Linked DNA regions of Stegostoma tigrinum. The protein of the gene in region 1 binds, or shares a complex with, the protein of each later gene. Links are inferred from orthologs where the notes say so. Each region holds a gene or a part of one and is shown on either strand. Other genes may lie near its edges.

Region 1 (11,638 bases):
ATATTTCCTACAGCTGACTAGGCACAAATCTGTTAAATATGCCTTGTGACATCAGCATTGTTTTGTAGGATTTAATTCAATACACACTCGTTTGTTAGCACAGAGCTCGAACGTTACTGAAAGAACATGACACATTTCTAAGCCTTTCATCTCAGGTTAATTCAGAGAAATACCATATATAGCAAACACGATCATTGACAGGTCAGAATATCGTGAAGAGTGGGAGGTCATTTCATCGAATAACCAATCAGCACTCTCTCATGCTGCATATGTGTCAGTTTTGCCCACAAATTGTTCTGGCAAGTGCAGAATGAAACCTTTCGCAGAACATGACTTCTTTTCAACAAAATACAAGCATTATCACCCCAACTGAAGGCAATATTGGACAAGTCAAATTCCAGCAAAAACCCTGGTTTGTTAAAACATAAGCTTTAGTTTTATCATATTGATTATTATGGTGGTCAGTCACTGAACATGTGCACACAAGGCTGTCACTGTACTTTTAGCAATTGAAGTTTATTGCACAAAAAGAAAAAAAGCAAAGCTTAAACAGCAAATGGAATAAGCCATTTTCTCTGCAATATTCTTTATACAGAACCTAAGTGAAGTATCAGTCCTAACTTCACTTTAGCATTTCTTACGGGACTAACAAGATTTTGAGGGATCCGTCTTGGCAGCTTTCTACATATCCACCAGATGTATTTTTTCCAAATCTGTCTCTCCCTGAGACACAGACAGGCTACTACAACAACTCTGCTCTAATTTTCACTAACTTGAGATGGCTAAAACTTCTTAAAATTTCAATCCAGCTGTTGACCTGAAGACATCCAATGGCTAAAATTTACCCTTCTACTGGAATGGTCTTTTCTTCTGAACTCAACCTGCTTTTGGTCCCCAGTCAACTGTCTTTTGTGTAGGTTGTAAAAGTTCCACTGGGCAAACAACCCAGCCGTTATCTCCACTGGCAACTCGCAACATCTAAAGTATGTCACGTGCTTTCTCTCATGTCTCTATTCACTGAATGAAATTACTTTGGTGACCCTTAAGAAAAATCAGAACTTAAAAAGGACTGAAAACCAAAACCTAATTTATCTCATTCTACTTTTGAATCCAAGATCCCAAATATAAGATTACATTTAACATGTTCATCACACATCTCACCAACCATTTCTAATTGGTTTCTCTCAAAATTTCCTCCAATCACCAAATGTATTTTGTGTTAATATATTTACATTAAACACAAGGGTTTTTACAACAACCATGTTCTATACAAGTTCATTCCATTCACGACATTCATTGTTTTTTATATTTGCTATTGACAAAGCAAACTGTGCTTTCACTAATTGGAATTATTTTCAACTTATATGCTTGTCACATTGAACTACAGTGAAAGTCTCAGATTTTGATTTGGAAATCAAACAATCATCATTGAATGATAGAATCCCTACAGTGGGGAAGAAGGCCATTCAGCCGATTGAGTCTGCACCAACCCTCCAAAGAGCATCCCACCCAGATCCACCCCACCTACCTTATCCCTTTGACTCTGTACTTCCAATGGCTAATCCACTTAGTTTGCACATCCTTGGATGATATGGGCAATTCAGCATGGCCAATCCACCTGACCTGCACATCTCTGGACTGTTTGAGGAAACCCGCGCAGACACAGGGAGAATGTGCAAACTCTACAGTCGCCCGAGGGTGGAATCAAACCAGGGGAGCCTGGTGTTGAGGCAGCAGTGCCAACCACTGAGCCACTGTCCTGTCTCCCGGAAATGCTCCAGGAAGATTAGTGGGTTGAGATCTCTATAAATAAATCTGCAGAGTTGTTCACTATTCTATTGTGATTCTAGCTGATGGTTATAATGGACAAGTCAAATTTCAGAATAAATGTGGCTTGATAAGACCGTATATGTTTTTCTTATTTAACATGGCTGTACTTTACTGTAACATAAGCACACAAGTTTTGTTCTTATCAATAAAGTTTATTACACAAATGAGTTCAGAAGAAATAGGTACACAGGATTTGGAGCTAGTTAGGATTTGGTATCGGAGTCTTGGATGATCTCAAGTTTATGAAACACAAAATATGGGGCAGAAGCCAGAAATACAATAGAATGATTAAGTATGAAGGTTTCAAGAACAGAAGACCGGATGTAGGTATGGAAATGAGCAAGGTTACAGAGGTGGAAACAGGTAATCTTTTATACAGTTTAGATACCCACACAGATACATTACTAAAATTGCAGTTTGGTTCAGCCTCAGGTAGTTGCTGAAGAGAATGGTCAAATCAGTGGCAATAACCAAAGAAACTAACACCTAGAGATTTATTTATTACACAGGAGGAAGCAACAGGGATTGAAATGCCTATTTCAGTTCATACGGTCTTAGGCTATCTGGCCCATCATGTTCATGCTAGTGATAAAGTATGCATTCAGTCTAATCCCACTTTCTAGTTTTTGATCCTTGAAGATTACAGTACTTAGTATTTTTTAAACTGTGATGAAGGTCTGTATCTTTGCCATATTTTCAGTCAGTGAATTTAGACATCCCCCATTGCCTAATTCTCAATTCTTGCCATCATCCCCAGAAACAAATCTGCTCGGTGCCCTTTCTGATGTGATTTCATTCTCCCTGTAATGCAGTGACCGGAACTCTATGCAGTACTGCAGCTATGGCCCAACTAGTTTTCTTTTAAACAATGCTCCTATAACTTCCCTACTCTCATAGTCAGTTCTCTGCAAATAAAGGAAGGTATCCCCCAACTACCAATCATATCACCTCTACATTTCCCTTTAAGTCTCTCCTACTATAGGACACTGCTCAAAACCTGCTAGCCTTAAGGGATGTACAGACATGTACCCAAGGATCCTTATTATTCCTCTCCACTTCTCACAGCACCTACACTATTCCCTCTTTTCTGCACTAAGCCTTGAATGTTGTGAGATTTTAACACCTCTATTAAATCTTTCCTTGGCCTTTCTTCCAAAGGAGAACAACACCCGACTTCACCGGTCTCACACAGCACTGGGTATGTTGGTCTTTGTAGCACTTAATATTCAGAAACTCAAAATCATTCATGGATTACACAAGCTACTGCTTTCAAGCTAGCTACATTTTACAGCCAATGTCTGGTGCAAGCCAAACTCTATGTTTTCACTAGCCTTAAACATTTGCAATCTATCTAAATCCACCGTATCTGATCAGGACAACCAAGCTATGGAAAGAAATATGGATTGTTTATGTCAAGAATGCAAATCAAACTGTATGCACCATATCTAATGATAAGGGAAAAGCTTGTGGCTTGCAACTGGATGTTTTTAAACCACTTAGTTTTTTTTTTACAAGGTACATAATGTTAAAATAACATGGAGGTTATGGTGGTAAGATAGAGCTGTGGGTTGTTAGCAGAAATGTCACAACTAACTATATCTTTACTGATGTGTTGTGGAAAAGCAGCACGTAGACGGGAAAAAGGAGGGATCCAAAAATAGATCCCTGGTAACTACACATGAATGGGAATCAAATCCCACTGACAACAATTCTTTAGCTATAATTACGCAAGCAAGAATAGAACCAGGCAAGTGCAGTCACAGACACCTGGCAGCTAACGATGACACATTGGAAGAAGGCTGTAGAAGGGTCGAGAAAATAAATAGTTCACCTTCGTCATAATCACACATGATGCAATCTTTGGACAACAACTGTTTTGATATTTTTCAAAACTCCATTATGAATGAATAAAAAGGAGTTTATATTGCCTTTGAAGCAACTGAGGATTTATTCACAGGGAGTATATTTAATACCTATACTTACTATTTGATGCTTTGTTTGCCAAACATAATAAATTAGGAATTCATAGTACAATGGAATGTAACTGAAATTCTATCATAATCCAGTCCCTCACTCTCCTGTCTAAGGAGCACTTAGAATTACATAAAATGTGAATTGCAAAAGCAGACCCAGCCTGTTCAACTTTTCCGAGATACAAACTGAGTTTCAGTACCATCTGTATCAATCCAACTTTTAATGCCTTGCCCACTGCCTCTAGATTTTTTTTTAAAAGTACGATTAAACTACAAATGCCATGTGCAGCCAATGTTCCACAAACCTTTAATATAACTTTATATTCTGAGGAAGGGTCACTGGACCCAAAATGTTCACTCTGATTTATCTCAGCAGATGCTGCCAGACCTGCTGGGCTTTTCCAGCAACTTCTGTTTTTAATGTAACTTTGCTTTTCGGCCTTACTCTTGAAATGAGCCAATTTTGGATCATTAACTGGTTTCGTTGACCCCTAACCTTGATCTTAATTTGAGAACTTCAGCCCCTAGATCCCCTTGCTCCTTTTGATAAGTTTGGGCTCCTTTTCCAACTTGATTCCGTGATTCCACCCACCAAAAGCTGCAACCTCAAGGCGGAACCTTTATAACTCCAGATATATGCAGCATGTACGCTGCAAATATCGCTCACGGCCCTCTCCATCCCCGGGCTCAGTTACTCACGGGACATCCTGGTCAGCACATTTTTCGGGGCCCGCTCCCTCCTGAGGGGCCTGGGCCTGTCGTCGCTGCTCTGCTCGGCCACCATCAGCTTCTTGAGGCGCTCGATCCTGTCGGGGTCCGGGGGAGGCCAGGCGGCATTGCGGCGGCGCCCGCGGGCCCTGTGGCAGCCGGGGGCCTGGGCCTGGGCCGGGTCCCCGGGCTCCTGCTGCTGCCGCCGCCTCAGGAAGCTCTGGTACTCGGCAATGTTGTTGAAGGTGCGGACGTTGGGGAAAGGCAGCGGCGGCGGCAGTCTGCTGTACAGCGCCAAGTACGGGTCAAAACGCGGAGAGCTGACATTCAGCCGCCCGGCCTCGTCCTCCTCCGGCCCGGGCTCTGAGCTCTCGGTCTCCGCCATTTCCCAGTGGCTCGCTCTCTCCCCGCCGCTAAGATAGCGTACTTTAACTGGCCGCCATCTTGGGTCCACTCGCGCTGGGCATTATGGGACGGAAACGAAAAGCTGGAGAAAGGCGGCAGCGGTTGTGAAGCATGCGGGTGTTCTTGTGTCACGCTCGACTCAAAACGTTAACTCTCTTCCCCTGTCCATAGATACTGTCAGATTTGATGAGATTTTCCATCACTCTATTGAGTATTAAAACAGATCCATTGGTCCAACTTGTCTATGCCAACCAAGTTTCCCAAACTGTCCCAGTTGCCTGATTTTAGCCTTTCCTGTACATATCACTATCCAGATTCCTTTATGTGCATCTACAACTTCCTCTTTCGATTTCCAGAACCTGCAGTATTTTGCTTTTATCCGAGCATTGTGTGACCTTCTCCACCTCAAACCAGGATTTGTCTTTCAGACAGCACCTCGCAGCAAGTCCCAAAGTGACTACCCTCGCGGACTTTCCTTTCCAAAACAAAATAAAATCAAATGGGCTGTCACTGTTGCCCGGAAAGGCCACTGCCAATCTGAACAAAGCACCAACTCACAGACCAGGCCACATACTTTGTTACTTTGGAACCATGCTGGGGATCGGATTAATAAATGTTCAGAGACTGTCTCTGATCTTCACATAGGCTCACATGAACCTTTGATATTGACCTGAGGATAGATGGAGCCTCAGTGTATTCAGAAGATGGCTTCCCAGACTCTAGACTGAATGTCAAACAAGACTAGGTGCTCAAATTTCAAAGTAGGTCTTGAATCCATCATCTCTTGCCACAAAACCAATAGAACAAATCCCAAACAGTTTGATTGTATCTTGAATTTACATAACACCCTTGTTCAAAACCCATCAAAGCTCCTCATAGTTAATTAGCTTTTTTTTTCCAATTGCAGTCACTATCTTGCAGTAGCCAATTTGCGCATAGAAAGATGTCTAACTGGTAACAGCCAAATCACAAGAAACCCTCAGACCCACTCAAAATAAATTATGAGATACACATATTTTAAAAATTATTACAATCCACCTTTCCCGGCCCCAAAAGCTATTGATTCACAATATAAGGTCACACTTACTACAAGGAAGGTGTCCAGTTAGTTACTTAAATAAAAACAAAATGCTGGAAATACTCAGCACGTCTAGAGACACCTGTTGAGAGGGAAGCAGAGTTAACAGAGAGTTCGGTCTGATTTCAGAAGAAGTCATTTCGACTCAGAGTATCCAAGAATAGACCTAACACCTGCCACATGTAGATTAATGATGACAATGTGAATTAAGTTTTTTTTAAAACTCACGTTGGGTCCTTCATCTCTTTCTGCAGACCCAGTCTAGCAGCAATGTCCTTTAAGTCTCAGCCAATAGTGTTGCTATTGATCGGTTCTTGGTGATGAACACTGAAGTCTCCTGGTGTCCTCAAAGTAGTGTTTAACGTGGAGGAGTATTTGTTCCTCAGCTAAGTGGCAGTAAATGGTACATTAACAGCATGTTTCCTTGCCCATGTTTGACCCAATGCTACGAGATCTGGACTCAGCATTGATGTTGTCCAGGGCAACTCCCAATTATATAATATTGTTCCACCACAGCTGATAGGATACTACATTCCCAGGGTTGGAAGTGATGGTGTCTGGCACATAATCATGGAATTATACCTTACAGATAATGGCCACCTGTTGCATGATAAGGGTGTGGGAGACCTCACCCAATTTCAATCCACCCTTCCAGATCTTAAGGAAAACTTTGCAGGATTGACAGAGCTGAGCTTATGATTGTTGGTTTAGTGCCTAGATTGACGTAGGAAGTGTGTTTGAATAATTCACTTGTTTAAACTTTATAATGACTTGATATAACTGAGAGCCTTGCTAGGCCATTTCAAACGGCAGTTAAGGATCAATCACATTGCTGTGGATCTGAAGTCACATGCAAGTCAGACAAGGAAAAGATAGATCTCCTACAGAAGAATTTCCCTTCTTACAAACTGAAGTCATTCTTGAGAAGAGTATCTGGCTAGAGCGATATTCCTCCAGATGTTGAATAGAGGCAGTCACCTTGTTGCAGCATATGTGATTACAAGCAATGCCAACTGTATGTACAACTCTCCTGTGAATAATTTATGTTGCCTTTCACTCCTCCAGGCTGAAGCCTCTTCCAGCATATTCTTCCGTGTGATAACTGACAGTGGGACACCTAACAAATGGTCAAAGGGGGCCAGTAACTCGGCATACTTTAGTCTATTCTGCTTTACACCTGTGAATTTTTCTGGTTGGCTGATTGAACCAAGTCCAACTATTATTTGCCAGTCCTCGTACAAATGAGGTGTCAGAATCATTCCACTTTGACTTGGAGCCTGGTTGTATATCGAAGGACTGAAACCCTCCTAGAGGAAGTTGGCTACTTTAGTTCATAAGAAAGGAGATTCTTCTGCAGAAGAATCTCCTTACAAGTGGCAACTCAGCTAACTGAACCAGTTATGCCAATCAAAAATATATATAGAATATATACAAAACAGGAGAAAGCCTAGGTGATCTCAGATCTTTGAAGAACTTCAAGGTTTCTGTAAGCCTCTGTATGGATTGTGCCAATGCCTGTTTGTTTGGAATCTTGCAAGGAGAGCAAAGGAAGCAGCAGAATCAGTCTTAAACAAAAACTAAAATATCTGGGACTGTTCAATAAATAAACTTCCTTTTGGGAAGGAGATTTTTTTTAAAAATGTGTTAAGTGAATCAGATGGGATTTTATGATATTCATCAATTGTTACATGGTTGTCAATATACTCACTTTTAATTCCAAATCTCTTTTTAATTTACGTATTGCTTTCTATGACAAAGGAATGTGAACTCACATTGCCAGAAAATGAACTTCAATTTATGGATTGATAGTCCAGTGATATAACCATAATGATCTCATTAAAACTTACACAATTGTTACAAGATGGACGGAGACAAGATGTTTCCCTGACTGGGAGTCTAAAAACCATGGACATAATATGAGGAAAAGGCATCTAAGACTAAGATGAGGAGGAATTTCTTCAAACAGAAGATGGTGAATATTTGAAATTCTCTACTCCTGTTTAGGGCTAGAACCACAAAAGTTTGTGAAACCTAATCCTTATGAACAGAAATCAAGCACATGAATTGAAAATAAGTTACCCAGCACAAATTCAATTCCCTTGCCAGCTAGGCAATTCCTCTTCCCAAATTTTGTCTGTGGCCCAACCAGGCTGCTCACAACGTTGGTATCCTACCTGAACTCACGTGAGCTTCAGTCTTTCCTCTCCCATCACCAAGTCGTCCAACTCCATAAGAGTACCTGACTCTACGCCTATCCTAGATCTTCCACTGCTGAAATCCTCAATGTCTTTGATACTACTTAGACCTGACTGTTCTAATGCTGTCCTGGCTGGTCCTTTACTTTGCACCATCTGTATGCTCAAATTTGCCCAGAACTCTGCCATCCATAACTAAACCCACAACAATTCCTGTCACCCATTCTATTATCACTGGTCCACCTTAGAATCCATCTAGAAATATGACATGGTAATTTTAAATCAAGTCTCTTGAGGACATTGCTGTATAAAGACTTCGGGACTCTGCAGCAATCTTGTGATAACGTCATAGAAGCACACTGAGCATAAATAGCACTGGTGAGTGGAGTTAGAAAACACAAGGTTAGAACTCTAGGCAGAAAGAATAAAGCACTAGACATGAACATACAAAGACAGTTACATTCATTACAGGCTAATCTAAGTCAAGTAGTATTTAATAAAAGTACACTGAAATGTTCATTTGAAGTCGAAGGCTGAGCAATACTTGACTTTTTCTTCTCCTCAATTAGTCTATCCCTAACCCAAACTCAGTGTGGCATAAGACTGCATCATAAAAGGGATCTAGGAAGCAGGACTGAAAGAAAGGAGAACAAGTAGATGCAGTGTATTTGAAGTTCCAAAATGGAATTCAAGAAGGTGCCAGGTAAGAACATAGGAGAAGGCCATTCTGCCCCTTGAAATGTGCTCCTAGGTATTGGCTAATGATTAATGCCATTTTCCAACACTATCCCCATTTCCTTAATGGCATTAGTAATTAGAAAAAACTGTCATTGAGGTTGGTTGGCTGGTTTGTTGTTCCGCAGACATTTTGTTACCATGCTTGGTAACATCCTCAATGCAGCCTCTGACAAAGCATTGTTTTTCCGCCTGGTTTTTAAACTCTGGGGTCCATTATGACAGACATTTAAAAACCAGGCGGGAAAATACACCAATTCTTCAGAGGCTGCACTGCGGATGTTACCAAGCACTGTAACAAAACATCTGCGGAACAACAAACCAAATCAACCTCAGCACCCACAACCTGAGCTACAGATCTACTCCAAAACCTTAGGAGAAAACTGTCACTTACTAGCTTGAAAGTGATTTAGCTTCCACCGCCCTTTGGGGTAGAGAATCCCAAAGGTTCACCTCTGTCTGAATGAAGATTTCTTTCTTCATCTTAGTCCTAAATGACCCCTGTTCCTAGATGTCTTATCTGCATTGAGTTCATCTATCCCTTAAGGAATTTTGCATTTTTCCAAGATCGCCTCTCATTCTTCAGAACACTACAGGCCCAGGATCTTCAATCTCACCTCATAGGAAAGTTCCACCATCCCAGAAATCAGTTTAGTCAAAATGCAACTGAGTTCACAAATATATCCTCCATGAAGCAAAGTGACCAGAGCTTCATTCAGTACCCCAGGTGTGATTCACCAGTGATCCATACAAATTAAGAGAGATTTATTTGCTCCTGCACTCAGAACATTATAAAATTGGTACACAGGGGAGGCAATGACCTAGTGGTCTAATCAGTAGGCTATTAATCCAGAAACTCAGCTAACATTCTAGGAAATCAGGTTTGAATCTGACCATGGCAATTGGTGGACCTTAAATTCAATTTTTAAAAATCCAGAATTAAGAATCCGCTGATGGACATGGAACCATTGCAGATTGTCAGGAAAACCCATCTGGCTCACTAATGCCCTTCAGGGAAGGAAATCTGTTACCTCCCAGTTGCCCTCTAAAGTGGCTTGTGTGTGTGCAGGAGGGTGGTGCAGAGGAGGTTCACTAGGTTGATTCCAGAGTTGAGGGGGTTACATGAGGAGAGATTGAGTAGACAGAACAGACACATTGGAATTTTACACAAATGAGGAGGGGATCTTATAGAAACATAAAATTGTCAGAAATAGATAAGTTAGAAGCAGGAAGGTTGTTTCCACTGCGGGGGGGGGGGGGGGGGGTGAAATTAGAAGCAGGGGACAGAGTCTCAATATAAGGGGGCTGGAGGGGAAAGAGGAGATTGGAGGTCCCTTACCAAGAGTGGCTCAGCAGCAGCAGCAACAGCACTACTGGTCTGATCATAAAGAACATAGCTGCTGGACGGGGTTTGCAGCTGGTGCAGGACTAAAGATGGAAAAACATAGTTGACCTCTTCCTTATCAATCTGCCTGCTGCACATGGAACTGTCCATGACAGAATTGGTAAGAGTGACCACTGCAGAGTCCTTGTGGAGACAAAGTGTTGCCTTCACATTGAGAATATCCTCCATTGTGTTGCGTGGCACTGTAACCGAGCTAAACGGGACACACTGCACGCAGATCAAGCAACTCAAGGCTGGACATTTATGAAGCACTGTGGATCATCCAACAAGAACAGTTGTACTCCAGCACAATCTGCAACCTCACAGATTGCCCTATCTCCTACCCAGCCAGTAGATTACCACCTTGTCAATCTACTCTCAAATCAAGGAAACATTGGAAAACAGTGCTATCAAGCAGCACCTACTCAGCAATAACCTACTAACTGAAGCCCAGTTTGGGCTCTGCCAGACCCACTTAACTCCTGACCTCCTGGTTCAAACATGGACAAAACAACTGGGCTCCAGAGATCAGGTGAGAGTTGACATACCTTGACATCAAAACTACATTCAACTAAATGTGGGATCAAGGAGTCAGAGCAAAACAGGAATCAATACATATTCGGGGGAAATTCTCTGCTGGTTGGAGTCATACTTGGCACGTAGAATGACTGTTGTGCTTGTTGGAGATCAATTATCTCAGCTTCAGGACATCTCTGCAGGAGTTCCTGAGTGTTGTGTCTCAGAACCCACATATTCAATGGTGTTCCCATTACTGAAACCCCCACTATCAACATCTTTGGGGTTATGATTTACCAGAAACTCAACTAGACTCGCGAAATAAGCACAGTGGCCACAGTAGCAGGTCAGAGACTAGGAATACTGAGTGACTAACTCACCTCATGGTTCCCCAAAACTCATCCAGCATCTAGAAGACTCAAGTCAGAAATGTGATGGAATACTCCCCACTTGCCCGGATTGGTGCAGCCGCAACAATACTCAACAATCTTGACACTATCCAGGACAAAGCAGCCCACTTGATTGGCACCATATCCACAAGCACCCATGCCCTCCATCACCGATGCTCAGTAGCAACAGTGTACCAACTACAAGATGCACTGCAGAAATTCAAAGATGCTTACAGAACACATTCAAAACCAAGAGCACTTCCATCTAGATGGACAAGGGCAGCAGATAAATGGGAACATTACCAGCTCCCCTCCAAGCCACTCACCATCCTGACTTGGAAATATAATCATAATTCATTCACTGTCACTCGGCCAAAATCCTGGGATTTCCTCTCTAATGGCACCAAGCATCAAACTACATCATG
Region 2 (9,370 bases), on another chromosome or scaffold:
GTATATTTGAAGAGGGTTTGGTCCATAACAGAGTCTGTGCGCTTTACACCTCCCAGCATGGCAACAGTGATGGGGGTTAGTATGATCCCACTAAGTCAAACACCAGTGGAACTACATTTTACCTTTGTGGTTCCAGGGTCAGATTGTTGTAAAGGTCTGAGTGGTGATCTTTCAGGAATCACTGGAGTTAGGGAGGGTACCAAAAGTACTGGAAAATGGATAATGTAACATCCCTGGGTTAGAGGACCCTATAGACCAGTTAGACTTAATTCGGTTGTTGGTAAGATTTGCGCCCATTATTAAGGCTGAGATTGCAAAGTAAATGGAATGCATGGTAAAAGAAGGGTGAGTCAGCTTGGTTTCATTAAGGGGAAGTATTGCCTGACCCATCCGTTAGAATTCTTCGAAGAGGTAACAAGCAGGTTAGACAGGGAGCCAAATGGATGTGATTTATTTGCATTTCCAAATAGATGCTGCTAAATAGGGTAGAGCCAATAGTGTTAGGGGCAAGTACTGGCAAGGATAGATTGTCTGACTGGCAGAAGCAGAGTGGACATAAAGCAGTCTTTTTCAGAATGGTAGCCAGTGACCAGTAGAGTTCTGCAGAGGTCAGAATTGGGACCATAAATATTCACATTATACATTAACAATCTGGATAAAGGAACTGAGGCCGTTGTTGCTAAGTTTACATATGGCACAAAGCTAGGTGGAGGGACAGACAGTGTTGAGGAAGTGGGGAAGTTGCAGAAGAACTTGAACAGGCTAGAAGAGTGGGCAAAGTGGAATGATGGAATACAATGTGGGAATGTGCACTTATGCATTTGATACCAAGAATAGAGGCATAAACTATTTTCTAAACAGGTAAAGACTTAAGAAATCTGCAGCTCAAAGGGATTGAGAGTCCTAGTTAGGATTCTCTAGGTTAACACATAGGTTCAACAGCAATGATGTACTATTAACAGTATATAAGGCTTGGGTCAGACTGCATTTGGAATATTGAGAGAAGTTTTGGGCCTCATATCTATGGAAAAATGTGCTGGTTTTGGAGACGGTCCAGAGAAGGTTATGAGAATGATCCCAGGAATCATATGAGGACAGGTTCGAAATCTTATTGAAGCTTACAGAATATTGAAAGGCCTGGATAGAGTGGATGTGGAGAGGATGTTTTCACTTGTGGAAGAGAATAGGATCCAAGGGAACAGCCTCAGAGCGAAGATAATGACTTAGGATTGACACAAGGAGGAATTACTTCAGCCAGAGGGTGGTTAATCTGTGGAACTCACTGCCACAAAAGGCTGTGAGGCCAAGTTATTGAATATATTTCAGACAGACATAGATAGGTTCTTGATTAGTAAGGGAATCAAGGATTATGGAAAGAAGGCAGGAGAATGGGACGAGAATGATACCAGCTCTGATTGAATAGTAGAGCAGACTCAATGGCCTGAATGACGTAATGGTGTAATAGCAGTGTCAGTACAACTAACTTGAGATCCATACAGTTGCTGACCAGCACTTTCTCAAGGGAAATTAGAAATCAACAATAAATACTAGCCTTGTTAACAATTTAGGGATGAATAAGAAAGGCTAGTTCTGCACTAACTGAAAATGCACCCAACTAGTGTGAACATCTCCAGCATAACTTGTAAAATTTACTCTTAAAACGCCAGACACTGACTCGAGTCCAGTTGGAGAAAGATGCCTTTCCCTCTGCTGAGCAGGAGAGCTTCCTGCCCCACATAACCCAAAATCCAAGTCATCACTGAACTACCTCCAAACAAAATCACCCTTTTTGAGGGGAGAGAGAATGAGAAAAGAATGATATAAATTTGTGTTGAGCTTCAAGTATGTACAGTGACTACAAAATTGTTATGTTTGCTCAGCACGGTCACTGGTTTAGAAGTGCTTGCTATCAGCTGAATTAAATGACCACACCTATGACAAACACTTAAGACTCTGTCCTTGCCAACACAAACTCTGGATTGGGTTCCCTACCATGTGACCTAAGGGGAGACACACATGGACAATCTATTCACTTATGGGGGCATCAATGTTAAAAGAAGATATTCATTCAAGCATATCATTGTATTGAATTGTCAGTATGGGTATGATTTGCCTGTAGTATAATGGTAATGACTGCAACGGAGTAACTGACACATGATGGGAGCATTTTCTTCTGCCGTTCATTCTATTTACAAAGCACTGCTTGGAGAGGAGACAGACCAGTGACAATACTAACCATCATTCATTATTGTCAGTGTTTGATTCAAATACACAGGGATCCTGCTGATCTACACAACAGGCAGACAGAAACCATGGATATGGCAGCATGGATTCTCAAGTGTTTCAGGAAATCTAACTGAATTATCCAATCATCTATTAGGAGCACAGACATAAACACAGCAGCAGTGTTTGAGATAGAGATAGAACTTGTATTTGTATATCATCCTTCCACATCTAAAAGAAAACTTAGAATACTTCAACTATGAAGAAATACAAGGAATGTGAAGTGCACGTCACTGAACTGTTTTGGGATGCAGCAGCTGTACAACACAGCAAGATCCCAAGCTAAAATTAATTTCCATTCTTCCAAAACTGCCAATGGAGCTGTACTGTCACGTTAACCACTGAAACAGTTGATACTGTGGTAAGATGGCAAATCCAACAATGCCCACAAGTGTCCCTTAGTGCTGTTCTAGAATACAACTGGCCCACACATTTTTCAGTGGAGTGTGAAAGTATAACTTTACAACATGGCGATAAGGATTGCTGCCAGTCTTACCAGACCAATTGGGCAGGCATACAAATCCACAGCCACACTGATCAGTCCCATTCTCCAGTGATCCCTAATATCCTGTGCCCAAACACCACTCCAGCCTCACCCCCAAATACCAGCCAGTCCTGATCGCCACACTCCACACCGCCACCCAGTCCAATTATCTACCCAACCACTGCCCAATACTCCCCAATCAGATGCCCACTCTCTAGCCTAAATAAACACTCTCTCCAAACACCAGTCTGGCTATCCATCCCCCTGAAAAAAAAATCCAGTTCAGATACCCACCCACCCTCCCCAAAACATCAAGTTCAGACAGCCAACACACCAGCCTTTGCAAACAATGCACAGTCATAATATTTACACACACAGCCCCAAACACCATACAGCCATGGTATTTAGCCCTGCACACACCACTTAGTCCTGATGATCAGTCTCTCAAACAGCACACAGTCCTTATAACCCCCACCCAAACACCATCCAGTCCTCAGAAATCCTAAAGACTGCACTGTCCTGATACAAACCCCAACATCACTGAGTTCTGATCTTGTCCTTTATTTCCCCCATATGCATCACCAAGTTTTGATAGCACATCTCAGGATCAGCACATTGCTACTTTCTTGATGGAAATTCTCTCCTCCCTCGATCTTTTCCTCCAAAGTTACGCACTCGGTGGATTTTCTGCAGTTGGTTCTGGACAGTCTCAATTATATCAATCTCATCTGGGATGTGAACGTAACGTACATTTCTGCCAGTCACAAAGAAGTCATCCAGGTTTGACACTCTGCCCTGTCTGTCAGTGTATATAACTTCAGCTAGCCGGATGTTCATGAATGCATCAACATTCACAAAGCGTCCCCTCACTGAGCTCTCGTCTTTAAGCTCCACAGTGGTAACGTGGTTATGTATCCCCTGGAGAAGGATGATGAGGCTGTTCTCTGCAATTGTTCGTTCTTTAATAGAATGGCTCAATGCCATAATGCTGGCTCACAAACTCTGAATCAGTTGAAAGACGAGTACCAGACCTAACAGTCCCTCCAGCTGGTAGAACTGCATGGAAAAAAAGAAACAGATCATGTGGATAGTTTTCATCTAAAACACATTAATTTCAATTTTGTCAGGTCGCATCAGTGGTCAAATTCTGCCTTGATGTCAAGGGTGATCACTGTCACTTCCCCCAGCTCGTGCACATGTTCAAAATGATTGTAAAATGTGAGGCTGGATGAACACAGCAGGCCAAGCGGCATCTCAGGAGCACAAAAGCTGACGTTTCGGGCCTAGACCCTTCATCAGAGAGGGGGATGGGGAGAGGGAACTGGAATAAATAGGGAGAGAGGGGGAGGCGGACCGAAGATGGAGAGTAAAGAAGATAGGTGGAGAGAGTGTAGGTGGGGAGGTAGGGAGGGGATAGGTCAGTCCAGGGGAGACGGACAGGTCAAGGAGGTGGGATGAGGTTAGTAGGTAGATGGGGGTGCGGCTTGGGGTGGGAGGAAGGGATGGGTGAGAGGAAGAACCGGTTAGGGAGGCAGAGACAGGTTGGACTGGTTTTGGGATGCAGTGGGTAGGGGGGGAAGAGCTGGGCTGGTTGTGTGGTGCAGTGGGGGGAGGGGACGAACTGGGCTGGTTTAGGGATGCAGTAGGGGAAGGGGAGATTTTGAAACTGGTGAAGTCCACATTGATACCATATGGCTGCAGGGTTCCCAGGCGGAATATGAGTTGCTGTTCCTGCAACCTTCGGGTGGCATCATTGTGGCAGTGCAGGAGGCCCATGATGGACATGTCATCTAGAGAATGGGAGGGGGAGTGGAAATGGTTTGCGACTGGGAGGTGCAGTTGTTTGTTGCGAACTGAGTGGAGGTGTTCTGCAAAGCGGTCCCCAAGCCTCCGCTTGGTTTCCCCAATGTAGAGGAAGCCGCACCGGGTACAGTGGATGCGGTATACCACATTGGCAGATGTGCAGGTGAACCTCTGCTTAATGTGGAATGTCATCTTGGGGCCTGGGATGGGGGTGAGGGAGGAGGTGTGGGGACAAGTGTAGCATTTCTTGCGGTTGCAGGGGAAGGTGCCGGGTGTGGTGGGGTTGGAGGGCAGTGTGGAGCGAACAAGGGAGTCACGGAGAGAGTGGTCTCTCCGGAAAGCAGACAGGGGAGGGGATGGAAAAATGTCTTGGGTGGTGGGGTCGGATTGTAAATGGCGGAAGTGTCGGAGGATAATGCGTTGTATCCAGAGGTTGGTAGGGTGGTGTGTGAGAACGAGGGGGATCCTCTTGGGGCGGTTGTGGCAGGGGCGGGGTGTGAGGGATGTGTTGCGGGAAATACGGGAGACGCGGTCAAGGGCGTTCTCGATCACTGTGGGGGGAAAGTTGCGGTCCTTAAAGAACTTGGACATCTGGGATGTGCGGGAGTGGAATGTCTTATCGTGGGAGCAGATGCGGCGGAGGCGGAGGAATTGGGAATAGGGGATGGAATTTTTGCAGGAGGGTGGGTGGGAGGAGGTGTATTCTAGGTAGCTGTGGGAGTCGGTGGGCTTGAAATGGACATCAGTTACAAGCTGGTTGCCTGAGATGGAGACTGAGAGGTCCAGGGAGGTGAGGGATGTGCTGGAGATGGCCCAGGTGAACTGAAGGTTGGGGTGGAAGATGTTGGTGAAGTGGATGAACTGTTCGAGCTCCTCTGGGGAGCAAGAGGTGGCACCGATACAGTCATCAATGTACCGGAGGAAGTGGGGTTTGGGGCCTGTGTAGGTGCGGAAGAAGGAACCTCTAATTCAAAATGATTGTGCCTTCCACTAGGCTCCTAGATTAGTACAATGAGAATTCACACGACACCGGGTTATAGTCCAACAGGTTTATGTGAAATCACAAGCATTTCTGAGTCTTGCCCCTTTGCAGGCGTTACCTGCTGCTGCGCCGGAAGCTTGTGATTTATAATAAACCTGTTGGATTATAACCTGTGTTGTGTGAATTCTGACCTTGTCCACCCCAGTCCTGCACCGGCATCTTCACATCGTGAACACAAGCTGAGCATCATGATGAGTCACCCTCATCATTATTTAGGTAATCTGCCACTTGCTGATTTCCAAAGGCAGTTGGTCTCTATCTGCGTTGATCCTTAAGGGACCCAATTATGGTCATTCATCCCATTCACTAACAGACAGCGAGTGGACACGGATCTCCCGAAGGGTTGGTCAAACCATGGACGCTGTTCCCTAAGTGGACACTGGTGTCCCGGGGACGGAGGCAGTGGACAGCCCGCACCCTCAAAGTTGGGATTGCCGATGAGCCCTCGGGCCGGACAGGATCGATTCTCCGTTGAGTCACTCACCCTTCGCCGTCGGCAACCCCACTGAGAAGGCCGCGTCTCCCTGGTAACGGCAACTTCCGTTTCGGGGCTGTGGGCGGGGCATGAACCGGAATTGTGCGTCGGTATCGGCCCGCTCCAGTGACGCAATGGGCCTTGTGCTCGGAAGTGAGAGCACGTGACTCAGTTCCTAGTCCGGGCTATTTGTATCAGAATGTGGTATCGGGGTAGTCGTAATGAGGGAGATATAACCCATAGGAAGGAAACCAAGAAAACGTAGACCATTCGATCGATTTCGAGCAAAACTTCATCTGTTCTTTCCAGTGTTGGTAGGGATTCTATTCTAAATGAAGGCCAAACGTGGTGTTAATTAGTGTTAAAATGGACGTATGTTGCAGCATCTCATTTTTCCTGCAGCTTTTACGACTCCATATCGAGTTCAATTTTCTCCCATGTCTTTAGACACCAGACCTAATTTACACATGGGGTGCTACCACAAACAGAAACAGAAGATACATGCCCCTATCTACATGAACAGAGCTGAGGTTAGGAGGGTGAAGAGCATCAAGTTTCCTCAGTATGACAATAACTGACAACCTGCCCTGGACTTCCTACACAAATGCAATAGTCAATAAGGTACAACAATGCTTCTTCTTCCTCAGGCAGCTCAGGAAATTTGATATTACCATAAGATCCCTCACCAATTTCTACAGTTGTACTGTTGAAAACATACCGTTTGGGTGCATAATAGCCCAGTATGGCAACTGCTCTGCCCAGGACTGTACACAACTAGAGAAAGTGGTGTGCACAGCCCAGCCCATCACAGAAGCTAATCTTGCATCCAGGGATTCTACTTACACATCTCACTACTGCAGAAAGGCAGCCAACATCAGCAAAGATCCGAGATAATGGGAACTGCAGATGCTAGAGAATCCAAGATAACAAAGTGTGGAACTGGATGAACACAGCAGGCCAAGCAGCATCTCAGGAACAAAGTGTGGAGCTGGATGAACACAGCAGGCCAAGCAGCATCTCAGCTCTGATGAAGGGTCTAGGCCCGAAACGTCAGCTTTTGTGCTCCTGAGATGCTGCTTGGCCTGCTGTGTTCATCCAGCTCCTCACTTTGTTATCAGCAAAGATCCATCGCATGCTGGTAATGATCTCCTATGATCTCTTCCGTTAGGCAGAAGATACAAAAGCCTGAATACATGCACATGCAGGTTGAGGAACGGCTTCTTTCTGGCCATTATCAGACTGTTGAATGGACTCTAACCGCAAATAACATAACCTATATGCCTCTAAGTCTTTTTGATCTATACATCCTTTGCTTGCTCTGAACTGCCTGTACCATTTGTAAACAAAGCTTTTCACTGTATTTCGTTACATGTCACAATAAATCGAGCAGGAGGAGGCTATACGGTTCTTCAAGCTTGCTCTACCATTCATCACGATCAATGGCTAATCAACCAACTCAATAACCTAATCCTGCTTTCTCCCCAGTCCTATGTCTATCACTTGAATTCATCTGGTGGACAAGGACAGCCCGGTCCCACTTCACATTCTCCTCTCCTAATTTATAGCCATTCAGGTAGTAATCATCATCATCAAATCCCTACAGTTTGGAAACAGGCCCTTTGGCCCAATAAGTTCACACCAACCCTCAGACTATCCCACCCAGATCCATCCCCGTAAGATCCATCTAATCTACCCATCCCTGAACACTACAGGCAATTTAGCATGGCCAATCCACCTAGCCCCTACATCTTTGGACTGTGGGAGGAAACTGGAGCACCCCAGAGGAAACCCAAGCAGACATGGGGAGAATGCAAAATCTCCACACAGACAGACGCCCGATGGTGGGATCGAACCCGGCTCCCTGGCACTGTGATAAATTTCTGAAGAAGGGTCCAGACGCGAAACATCAGCTTTCCTGCTCCTCTGATGCTGCCTGGCTGCTGTGTTCAACCAGCTCTGCACCTTGTTAACTCAGACCCCAGCATCGACAGTTCCTACTGTCTCCTACTGTATATACTAGCCTTTTCCAAGCCAAAAGCAGTTCTGAAAAAGGATCACTGGATCTGAAACATTAACTCTGCTTTCTCTCCACAGAAGCTGCCAGACCTGCTGATTTTACACCCCCCCCCAGCAATTTCTGATTTTATTACTGATTTCCAACATCTGCAGTTCATTGGTTCTTTTTTCAAAATTACCAAAACCTTACAATATCAGAGAAAATAGGCTACGTTCTATTCAAAGTCAAATGAATAAACTTAATACACATTGTTAATATTGTTTGTTTGTAGCAAAATCTAGGGTATGATGAATAACTTTTGTAAGAATTCATAGTGATGCAGAAATCAGAATTCTGAGAGAATGCCATATTGACAATACGCACAGTTCCACAGCTTTGTTCCATACAGCTGGTCCAAAATATCAGATCCAGCAACTCAACACTGAGCATTCATGAGGCACTGTGAACCATCAACAGCAGCAGAATTATACCCCAGTAAATATGCAACCTCATGGTCCAGCATTTCCCAGCATATCCCCACTCATCCATTACCATCAAGACAAGTTCAACGGAGACAGAAGAGGCCATGTTAGGGAGCAGCATCAGACATACCTAAAAAGTATTGAATAGCTTCTGGGAGTTCACGCACACTATGTCTACTCTATTACCTCTTCAAAAAACTCCAAAGAGTTTGTTACACACAATATTCATTCATCAAATCCACGATGATTCTCCCAAATTAACCTTTTTTTAAACTGTGACTGACAATCAAATCCTGAATAATTGTTTCTTGAAGCTCCCCCACCATCTGAATTAAACTGGCTGGTCTGTAATTGCTGGATCCAGGTTGATGTTCTTTATTAAACAAGGCGTGATATTTGTAATTTTCCAGTCTTCCAGCACCACCCCAAAATCCTAGAATCTTCAGAGAATTATCAAAACTAACTTGTGGCAGCATATTAGATATTATGTTGGCCAACTAAAAAGGCTTTATTGATGAAATGAATATGCTCATGGAAACTCTTTTAGAATTACCTGTGATACTAAGGTTGTGAAACTGAATTATGCTTCAATAGTTGCCAGAGAATGGACTGATTCAGTGGCAAAACAACTGAAATTGTAACAAGGAAGGAAAACAATGGCTTCAGTTTCCAAATTTTTACTTGGAAGAACTTTCTGCTGAAGTCTGACAAGTAGCGTGAGACATCAGAGACAGGCAGTGGGAAACCTGGTATTGAAGTAGAGCTGGGTATTAGCACACCTAAGGACGTAATAAGTCTGAATGTT

The links. The genes of interacting proteins can lie anywhere in the genome.
Region 2: lsm11 (region 1) and U7 snRNA-associated Sm-like protein LSm10 share a complex: the UniProt entries of both Homo sapiens proteins name them as parts of the heptameric ring U7 snRNP complex. The link is inferred for Stegostoma tigrinum from reciprocal best matches to the Homo sapiens genes LSM11 and LSM10.

Annotation. Positions count from the first base shown.
Region 1 is NC_081366.1:70,407,594-70,419,231, forward strand, and holds the start of lsm11 (U7 snRNA-associated Sm-like protein LSm11), read right to left. Parts: upstream 4,965-11,638; 5' UTR 4,897-4,964; coding exon 4,503-4,896; intron 1-4,502. UniProt on the Homo sapiens protein: Component of the U7 snRNP complex that is involved in the histone 3'-end pre-mRNA processing. Increases U7 snRNA levels but not histone 3'-end pre-mRNA processing activity, when overexpressed. Required for cell cycle progression from G1 to S phases.
Region 2 is NC_081377.1:5,963,975-5,973,344, forward strand, and holds U7 snRNA-associated Sm-like protein LSm10, read right to left. Parts: upstream 3,752-9,370; coding exon 3,386-3,751; 3' UTR 3,076-3,385; downstream 1-3,075. UniProt on the Homo sapiens protein: Appears to function in the U7 snRNP complex that is involved in histone 3'-end processing. Increases U7 snRNA levels but not histone 3'-end pre-mRNA processing activity, when overexpressed. Required for cell cycle progression from G1 to S phases.